Linked DNA regions of Coturnix japonica. The protein of the gene in region 1 binds, or shares a complex with, the protein of each later gene. Links are inferred from orthologs where the notes say so. Each region holds a gene or a part of one and is shown on either strand. Other genes may lie near its edges. The genes, in order: NRXN1 and LRRTM2.

The links.
Region 2: the proteins of NRXN1 (region 1) and LRRTM2 are in contact, whole or in part, in a crystal structure (PDB 5Z8Y), measured with the Homo sapiens proteins. The link is inferred for Coturnix japonica from reciprocal best matches to the Homo sapiens genes NRXN1 and LRRTM2. Residues at the interface, in NP_001317021.1 of Homo sapiens: Leu139, Val158, Thr160, Arg236, Gln237, Leu238, Thr239, Ile240, Asn242; in NP_056379.1 of Homo sapiens: Asp343, His344, Gln346, Gly347, Glu348, Leu351, Asp352, Ala353, Gly356, Phe357.

Annotation. Positions count from the first base shown.
Region 1 is NC_029518.1:8,251,347-8,255,628, reverse strand, and holds the start of NRXN1 (neurexin-1), read right to left. Parts: upstream 2,902-4,282; 5' UTR 2,810-2,901; exon of another isoform or gene 2,707-2,809; intron 2,649-2,706; exon of another isoform or gene 2,632-2,648; intron 1-2,631.
Region 2 is NC_029528.1:14,092,260-14,096,793, forward strand, and holds the start of LRRTM2 (leucine-rich repeat transmembrane neuronal protein 2), read right to left. Parts: upstream 2,807-4,534; 5' UTR 2,094-2,806; coding exon of another isoform or gene 2,068-2,093; coding exon 2,064-2,067; intron 1,731-2,063; coding exon 187-1,730; 3' UTR 1-186. UniProt on the Homo sapiens protein: Involved in the development and maintenance of excitatory synapses in the vertebrate nervous system. Regulates surface expression of AMPA receptors and instructs the development of functional glutamate release sites.

The DNA.
Region 1 (4,282 bases):
TCTGGCAAGGAAAATCCAATTCAAGCCGGCTCTGATGCTGACATTATTCACAATGCAGATCAGTTAATCCCAGGTGTTAGTCCTCTGAAATGGGCTGCAGTATTTTACGTATGTTTACTCAGACACACTTATTTAAAAGGACACTCCTCATTTTAAAATTAATACATATGCCATAGTTCATTCCCTTGCTTTAAAGCAGTCTCTGCATTCAAACCACTTCAGCAGAGAGGCTCCCCTCTCTTTTCTTCCTCCAAGCCGCGCAGTGTTTTCTAGGAGAAGTGTGCAAGCAGAGATCTGATGGAGGAGAGGATCTCCGACACCTCCCTCCCCTCAGCCAGCAGCACTCAGGCAGAACAGCACGGCCAGAGCTGCCAACCACCTTGCCGGGTGCTGGGTGCTGCGTGTGGGTATGCGTCTGCTGCGGGGAGAGGGGGCAGGGATGTGCCTGCCGGGGCAAAACCTGCACACACCTCGGCTGCCTGCACCTGACACATTCCAAGCCGCTAAGTCACCTCCTACTCTCTCTTTATATTTAATTTCATTCCTCTAAATGTCAACACGTTTATTTTTATTATTTGTCACATGCCAGGCGGGCAAGAGCAGCGAAAGGGAAGCAAGAAGAATCCCTAGAGGTTAGAAGAACTCCCAAACCCATCTGGCAGAGGCCAGCCGTGCTCAATCACCACCGGGCACTGCAGGGCATCGGCGTGCCCCATGGTTTTCCCCTTCTGATACCGCTGCCAGCAGTTTTCCGGCAGCCCCCCACCCCCAAAAAACGCGGTGCCCATTAGAGCTCGTCGAGGGAAGCAGGCAACCCCGGCCCCCAGCGGGAGCGTTTGGGGCATATCGGCGCCGTCGGGAGAGCTGCCGGCGGCGGGCAGGCACCGCTTCAGCACCACGAACAGCTCCGCCCTGCGCGGCCCGACGGGGCGGCGGCTCCGCGGCTGCCGCCTGCGCCCGGGGCTCCCCGCATTGGTGGGGGACGGGGGGGCTGAACGCGAGTGGGAGCACCAGGGATGCCCCGGGGGACGGGAGGGTAGTGCGACCGTACGGTGGAGGGAGGGAGAGACCAAGAGGGTGCGGCGAGAGAAAGGGATCGGCTGGCTGTCCGTGTGCCGAGGGGGGGAGGGGCGGGGCGGGGGACCGCAGGTGGGCGCGTGGCCCAAGGGTGAGGGATGAGTGGGGAGGGAACGCGCGGGTGTTCAGGGAAAGCAGTAGCTTGCAGGTGCCGCGAGGCAGGAGCGAGCGCGCCCGCGTGCACGGGTGCGTGAGAGCGCGTGTGTGTGTGTCTGTGTGTGGGGGGGTGCGAGCGCGCCGCCGAGCGTGCAGAGCGATCCCTACAGGTGTCCGCGGAGAGCATCCGAGTGGGGATCCCTCCAGGAGAGCCGCCCCGCCGCCGGCTGCGGTGCCGCCCGGCCCCCGCCCGCGGTGCGGCAGCGAGAGGGGAAAAGGGAGAAAGAAATGAATGACAGCGATAATGAAAGAAAATAAAGGGAGAGGGTGAAGGCAGAAAGATGGAAAGATTGAAGAGGATAGAAGGAAGACCCGAGGAAATAAATAATAATAATAAAGCCACAATTGCTTATTTATCACTACCGATATCCATACAGTCAGTACACAACACGGTCTCGCCATCTCCAAAGCAGAAGGACACTGTCATTTCCAAGAGGGGACGATTTGGTCATGTAACATACCTCAACCGGGGTCTCAACTGCCAGCCGATTCCCCTCCCCTCCCGCCTCCCCCCCGGCACTGTATGTGTGCGCACATGCATGTAGTGAGAAATATACACAAAGCAGCACTAACGGAGCAGCGCCTTCAGCGCCTCACCAGTGCATCAATATCCTTCCCCCACCTCTCCATAACCCTATATATATATATATATATATATATTATTATTATTTTTTCCTTTAAAAACGATGATTTGATCCCAGGTACCCCGATGGAGCCTTTCCAAACGGGCGAGAGGGAGCACCCCGAGGTCAATAAATCTCGGGCTAACGGCAGGTCGCGGCACGCACCGCCCCGGCACGATCTTCATTGTGCCCAGCGCTCGGCATTGTCTCCGGAGCGGGGAAGCCCGGAGAGTTCGCAAATTACCGTTTGAAAAGAAAGGAGCTGGAAAACAACCTTGCTGCAGCCAAAGGGGGAAGCGCTCCGATTCAAAAGCAGACTTAGCGGCATCATTAATCTTTTCCCTCCGTTTCTACGTAATTTCTAGAATCAAATTCTTTCCTAGGCGGCCGCAATGATCGATTTTGCTACCTCTCCAGCCTGCAGACGTATTTATTTTAATACGCTTGTGATAGAATTTCTCCTCCTTCAAAAATGCACACCATCAGCAGGAACCCGCGCGGTTCCGAACGCACCAAGGCAGCCGCCTGCCCTCTTTCTTCTCCCTCACAATAGCAAATGTCCCAAATTGCCCATGCACTTCCTGCACAAGCCCCTCGCCCATCCCAGCCCGCCGCCAGCACACAGCGATCCCATGGCGATACGCATCCCCATCGCTTCGCGATGCACCCGAGCAGCTCCCGCGAGGGAAAACATGCAGCACATTGATTCATCCCTCCGCTCACACGGATACAACCCCCCACCCGCTTTGGCACGGGAGGAATAGCCGCATCCAACCTTTAACTTCTCCCTCCGCTCCTCCATCTCTGCTCCCCGCCATCTACCTTCCCACAACGCCGCATGCGAACCCACCAGCCTCTCGCGCCTCCTTCTCCTCTTCCTCCTCCTTCCGCAGCGGCACAGCGGGGCTCGTCCTCCCCGGCACCGCTCTGCCCGCACCGCGGACACGCCTTACCTGCGCGGGGTGCCGCGGGCCGGGGCAGGCGCGGCCGGAGCTGCCTCTGCCGCTCGCCGACGGAGCGGGCGCTGCTGCGGGTGCGCGGCGGCGGCAGCGGGCGGGGGCGGCCGCCGGGAGCGGGGGGCGGTGCCGCCGCGTGACGCCGCCGCGCCCGTCTGCCCGCCGGGGGCGGTGCCGCGCTCGCTGCAGACCCCGGCCCGCCCCGCCCCGGGCCCGCCGCGCCCCGAGGCTCTGCACTGCAGCGGGCACGGCCCGGAGAGGTGCGCGCCGCCGAGGACGAAGCGTTGACTTGGTGCTCTCCCATCTGCTTCGCTGGCTGGGGCATCTCTGCCGGCTCCATCCCCGCCACTCCGCTGCTTTGCGTGGGGTGTGCTGCTTGGTTGGATGGTTCTAGAGCCGAAGCTTTCTGGTGTATGCGTTGGCCTGTGGGATAATACAGGTGATGACTTCTAACTGAAGGATACCTTCCGGGCCACACGGGGAGTCTGTTGGAAAGTCTGGGTTCTGTCTGGCATTGTGTTAAACCTGTTTGAATGTATGTTGTTGCCCAGTGCTCACAAACTGTTGAGAAAAATTTAGGGACTCTTGAGATGGTTGGGTTGAGCCACCTGGAAGGCACTGTGTCATATCAAACACATCCAGTTGTGTCCAGATGGTGGCCTGCAGTCTTTGTACTCAATGGCCAGGAGAAGGGTGCTGGCTGGGAGCTGCCTGTACCCCAGCCAAGGTTCTTACAACTCTTCGGACTCCGGAATGATGCTGTCACACTCAAGGAATCACAAGAGCACCCCCAGCATCCCTTTCTATTAAGGTGTGTGCAGCCATACTTTTTGTTTTCCAAGCTGAAAACAACACATAGTGATTTAGTTTTGAGCTGAAAACTACAGAACTGTGGTAAAAAGCCCTCGCTCTCCCAGCTCAGTCGCAGAGGAGTTAGCCTTATGATCTTCTTTAATGAATCAGGCATCCTCACAGATAATAAGTTTGGTGAAATAACCAAGCAACAAGAATAAAAGCTTGCTAGACATGCTACATATCTTCAGTACGTGTAGCATCATCAAACTTCCTTTTTATTCAGCCAGATGATACCCATATCCAGTTATTTTCAAATAAAGAGTGAGATTTTCTCTTGACAATTCTAATAACTTGACCTGTGCAAACAGAACAAGGAGCAAATCTCTCTCCTGCTATGAAAAGAATATAAATTATAGGCTTCAGCAATAACAAAAAGGGAAACACTTTTTTACAGGAGCAAAATTGCAAACTGATAAAAATTAGTACTCATGATATACATTTTATGTGGGGGAAAAAAAAAAACCAAAACAATACTATTTCCTAATTGTGGCCTAATTTTTACTTTGCTTGTGGTTAAAAAAATGATAACACTTCTAATGCTCTTTGTCCCATCCCCAGAGGTGCCCAGGGCCATGTTGGATGGGCCCTGGGCAGTCTGATTTGGTAAGGGGGAGC
Region 2 (4,534 bases), on another chromosome or scaffold:
CACTGAAAATATCATGGATTTATTTAAAAAAAAAACAACTTAAAAATACCACACCACTCCAGAAACGATTCTTCCATTGAGTAGCTTGGAAAATTAGGCTTTGTGTCGGCATCTGTAAAAATTAGACTCTGCTGTAGGTCCCCTACCATTTTAAAATAGGTTACTTATCTGCTTTAATTGTAGGTATTATACTTCACATTCTTTATATGGCAGCTGCTGACACTTGCATTGTCCGTAGCCGTTAATGATGATGAAGGGTCCTTCGTGGGTGGGTTCGTACTCGTTGTACGGTCCTTGGTCTGACATGTTTGCCATATGTAGCCGCGTTTGGGATCGGAGCTGCCTGTGGTTTTGAATCATTGAGCACTGCCTAATTCTTCTTAATGTGGGAGGGCAGCATTTCCTGGAGATGAACACTATAAAAATGATAAAAAAGAAAGAAAACAATAAAGCCATTGTCCCTGTAATTACCCTTTGAGTGAAGATGGCATTGTTTGGCTCCGGGAAGGGTTCCTCGGTGGTGACGACCATGCCTGCCGTGGTGGGGATTTCTTTGTCTCCCATATGGAAATGAGAGGAGCTGATTCCTTTCGTGTACTCGGTGGTGGGAGCGTCCGTCGGCGCCGCGGACGGGGCGGCAGTGGATGCGTTCCAGCAGAGCTGGAAGCCGTGCACGGCGTCCAGGATGTCCTCTCCCTGGGCGTGGTCGGGGCCGTGGCAGAGGATGGGGTGCTCCCAGCGGCCCCGGAAGGCGCCCAGCCAGGCGGCCAGCGCACAGATCCGGGCGCTGCATTCCCACAGATTGCCCGAGAGCCCCACGGTGCTGAGTGATGGCAGCGAGCGCAGGATCTTGGAGTCCAGCGTGCTGAGCTTGTTGTTATCCAGGAGGAGGGTTTTAAGGTTAGGCATAGTTTCAAAAACTGTTAGGTCGATGGCTTTGATCTCGTTTCCAGTCAAATCGAGCTTTTCTAAGGTGCCCCAGGTCCACTCCATCCCACACGTCAAGTTGCTAATTTTGTTCCACTGCAAGAAGAGCGTGTGCAGGCTGCTGAGCCGGAGGAAATGAGCAAAATTAATCTTTGTCAGCTGGTTGTGCTCTAGGTGCAGCTCCCTCAGCTTGATTAATCCCGCAAAGCCGTTGCGAGCCAAACTTCGCAAGCGGTTTGTGCTCAGATCCAGGAACTCCAGGCTACGGCAGTCCCAGAACAGGCGGACGGGGATCGTCCGCAGGGAGTTGGAGCGCAGATGCAAGGTCTGCAGCTTGCGGAGGCCGTAGAGCAGCTCGGGGTGCAGAGAGGACAACTGATTAAAAGAGAGGTCCAAATTCTGCAGGTTAAGCAGCTGGCTAAAAGTGGTGTTGGGCAAATGAAAGATTTTGTTGGAACTTAAGACTAATTCCTTAAGTTTATACAGTCCTTGAAAAGAATCTTCTCTGACTGTTGCAATTTGATTATGATCTAAGTGAAGCCAAGTAAGTTGACTGAAGCTCGCAAATTGATCCCTTTCAAGTTCAGTAATAAAATTGTGCCTCAGTGACAAACCTAGAGAGCCCTTTTCAGTGGTGTTTGGCACTGAGTGAAACCCCTGAGAGTCACAGTAAAACAGTAGCTTCTCACAGCGACATTTTGGTGGACAAGCCATGCCCAAGGCAGGCAGCATTTTTAAAACCATGCTCATTGCATATAGTGCTGCCAGCATACGAGCCCCTAATGGCCACTTGAAATGTAAGCCTGCAGAATATAATTTAGGAAAACAACAAGATAGGATATCCTTATCAGTATACTTTGAACATCACGGTGGAAGATTTCACTGCAGATAACATTTCCATGCATTTCCGAAAAGCTTATTCTAAATGCAAGAAACAACTTAGTACTACACACAGAATACCGGCTATTACACTTAGGACGAGTCTTTATCGGCATTACGGAGGGTTACAGCGTCACAATCAGAACACATTCCTCTCGCAAGGCTCACCCCAGCGAAGCGGGCTGAAGCACCTCGCCGCTGCCTTCACACACAGCCATCATTCATCAGACAAGGGAGAGAGAAAGGCACACACTTACCCATTCTTTTGAGTACATTGGAGGTTGCATTCAGTCGTAGTTTGAGACTCAACACGGTGAGTCTGTGAAAGGCTCTAATGCGAGACAGCCTGTGAATAATTTACCGCGTTAGGGTCCTTTGATATTAGTGCAAAATTGAATCCACCGTGCTTGCTTAGAATATCCCTTTTGGAAGCGCCGGCGTGATCTCCTCCGACAGGGCTGCAGTTTGTAAGTCGATGCTTAATAGAAGTTTTCTTCCTCGGCGGCTGCTCGGCTGTTTAATTGAAGCTCACGTTTTCTTTTTCCGCAGCTGTGGGTTCCTTTAGTCCTAACTTGTTGATGGCAGATGGGTGGCTTATTGCTGAGAGAAGCTCCTGGAGTAGCATGAGTGCATTTACTGAAAAGCTTTTCAGGGAAGCGGCACAAGAATGGGTTTGCTTATGCGCTGCGACCGTGCAGGGCTGTATATAGGCTGACGTCACCCGGTGACGTTCCTTTTGTTTGGGTTTTCCAGAAGCTTTGCTGTTTTAAAGCATTGTGCTGCATACTGTGGTCGCGTTTGAGACCACTGATTGAGGAGGGGGAAAAAAATCAACTGTCGGAGCCCTTCGTCCCGGCGATGTGAGGAGCAGGAGAGCCGCGCGCCGCCCCGCTCCCCCCCTGCATTCCTGCTGGCTGCGTTGGGCTGGCACTGAGGGCAGCACAGAGCTGCAGCTGGAGCCTCAATGCTGCCGGCTGCCTGTCCAGCCTGGCTGCACTGGGGATGCTCAGGGCTGTGAAGTGTGCCCCACTTGGACTGAGGGCGCTGATTAGCAGCACTGTGCAGGGAGGAGGGGCGGCTGGAGGTCCCTGCGGAGCACAGGGCAGTGCAGGGCAGTGCTTTTTGGGACGGCAGTGCGCCCCAGAGTCCCTGCAGTGAGAAATGTGTTTGGAGTGCTGGGAAATGTCGGGAGAAAGCAAAGCTTACGTTAAAGCACAGGAAAAAAAAAAATTAATTGGAATCTTGCTTGACAGCGTGCAGTTATGAAACAAGGAAATCCATCTTAATTTTGTTTTTTTTATACCCTGGCTTTTGTGTCGCTTATTGCTGCATACAGAAGAGCCGGTTGCGTTTACAGCTGGGGTTCCCTGCAGCTCACAGTCCTTGAACAGGGGCTGGGACCCATGGTGATGGCAGGAGCTGCATCCAGCATGCACAGTCCTGAGCTGTGCTGTAGTGCCAGCAGCCCTGCAGGGCCACAGCCTGGTCCTGGGCTGCAGGCTGGGACATCGCGGCTCTCACTGTCCAGAGCAGACTCTCCCGTGGGACTTTGTTGTCACCTTGAGACGCACAGCACGAGGTGCTCGGTGATGTTTGCCCTGTGGCAGGGAGGTGTCAGTGATGACCTCGGGACGGAGCTGAGCTGAGAATAGCAAATTCCCCATGCTGACAGGGATGGAGATGGATTGTGCCAGAGGAGGTTCTGAGAAGTCCGTGGTCATTTAGCTTCATTATTAAACTTTGGTTCCTTATTTAAGCTCAGCCTTGCTGGTTTCTCCCTGCTTTCCTTCCTTTGTTCTACACTTGAGCTGTGTCCCTGGCTGCAGTGCTCAACCCGTGGCTGTCCCAACAGGGGAGGTGTTAAGTAAAATGGAGGGAACACAAAGCACAAAGGAAGGCAAAAGCTGAACAGAAAAATAAGTAACCTAACTATTTTTAATGATAAACGGGGCAGTGCTAGGTGAATGTGTTAAATTGTTCTGTCACGGTAAATATTTCAGCATTTGCTCCAGGCTGAAAGGAACACATGTAAAGAAATGACACGGACCTATTCCGAGAGTTTCTCCATAGTTAATATTCACTGTGCAGGAAGAACGCAGCCGAAATCCAGCCTGAGCCGCCCGTTGCCTTGGGGGAGTACAGCAGCGACGTGCCTGTAGCTGTGCTGCTCAGCACTCATCTGGTGCACTGTCCTGACCCCAGCGCTGATCTGAATGTTAATAGCGCATAAATATGATAACACAGTCTTTTAAGGAATGTTCCTAAGGTGTCATTTAAGAAAATTGAAAAAGCTCCGAGATGAAAAATTAGTTCCCTGCTGTGCCACTCTTTGCACTATTACCGAGTGGCCAAATTTGGGTACCTTTTGGAAGGCTTCTGCTTTTTCGCATCCATGCCTGTTGGTAGGTTCCTCCCACGTGAAGGTTGCGTAATCTGGCACGGAGTTGGGAGTTGCTGCTCGCACACGGTGAGCTGCTGCTTTGCTGAAGCTCTTGGTTCTCTGGCCTGTAACCAAACAAGGGCTATTTAGCACCTTGCCAGTGACTTTCCTGTTTGGGAAACAGAATTAATGTGAGCTTTACGGGAGCTTTTCTCAGCAAAACCTGTTTTTGTGCATGCTTGTTGTGAAGCAGCATCCATTACTGAAGGCTTACCTCCGCTTCCTTTTAAAACTGACACTGTGCTAATATTCCCCTTGTGCTTTGGGAGCTGCCCGGGGTGCCGAGGT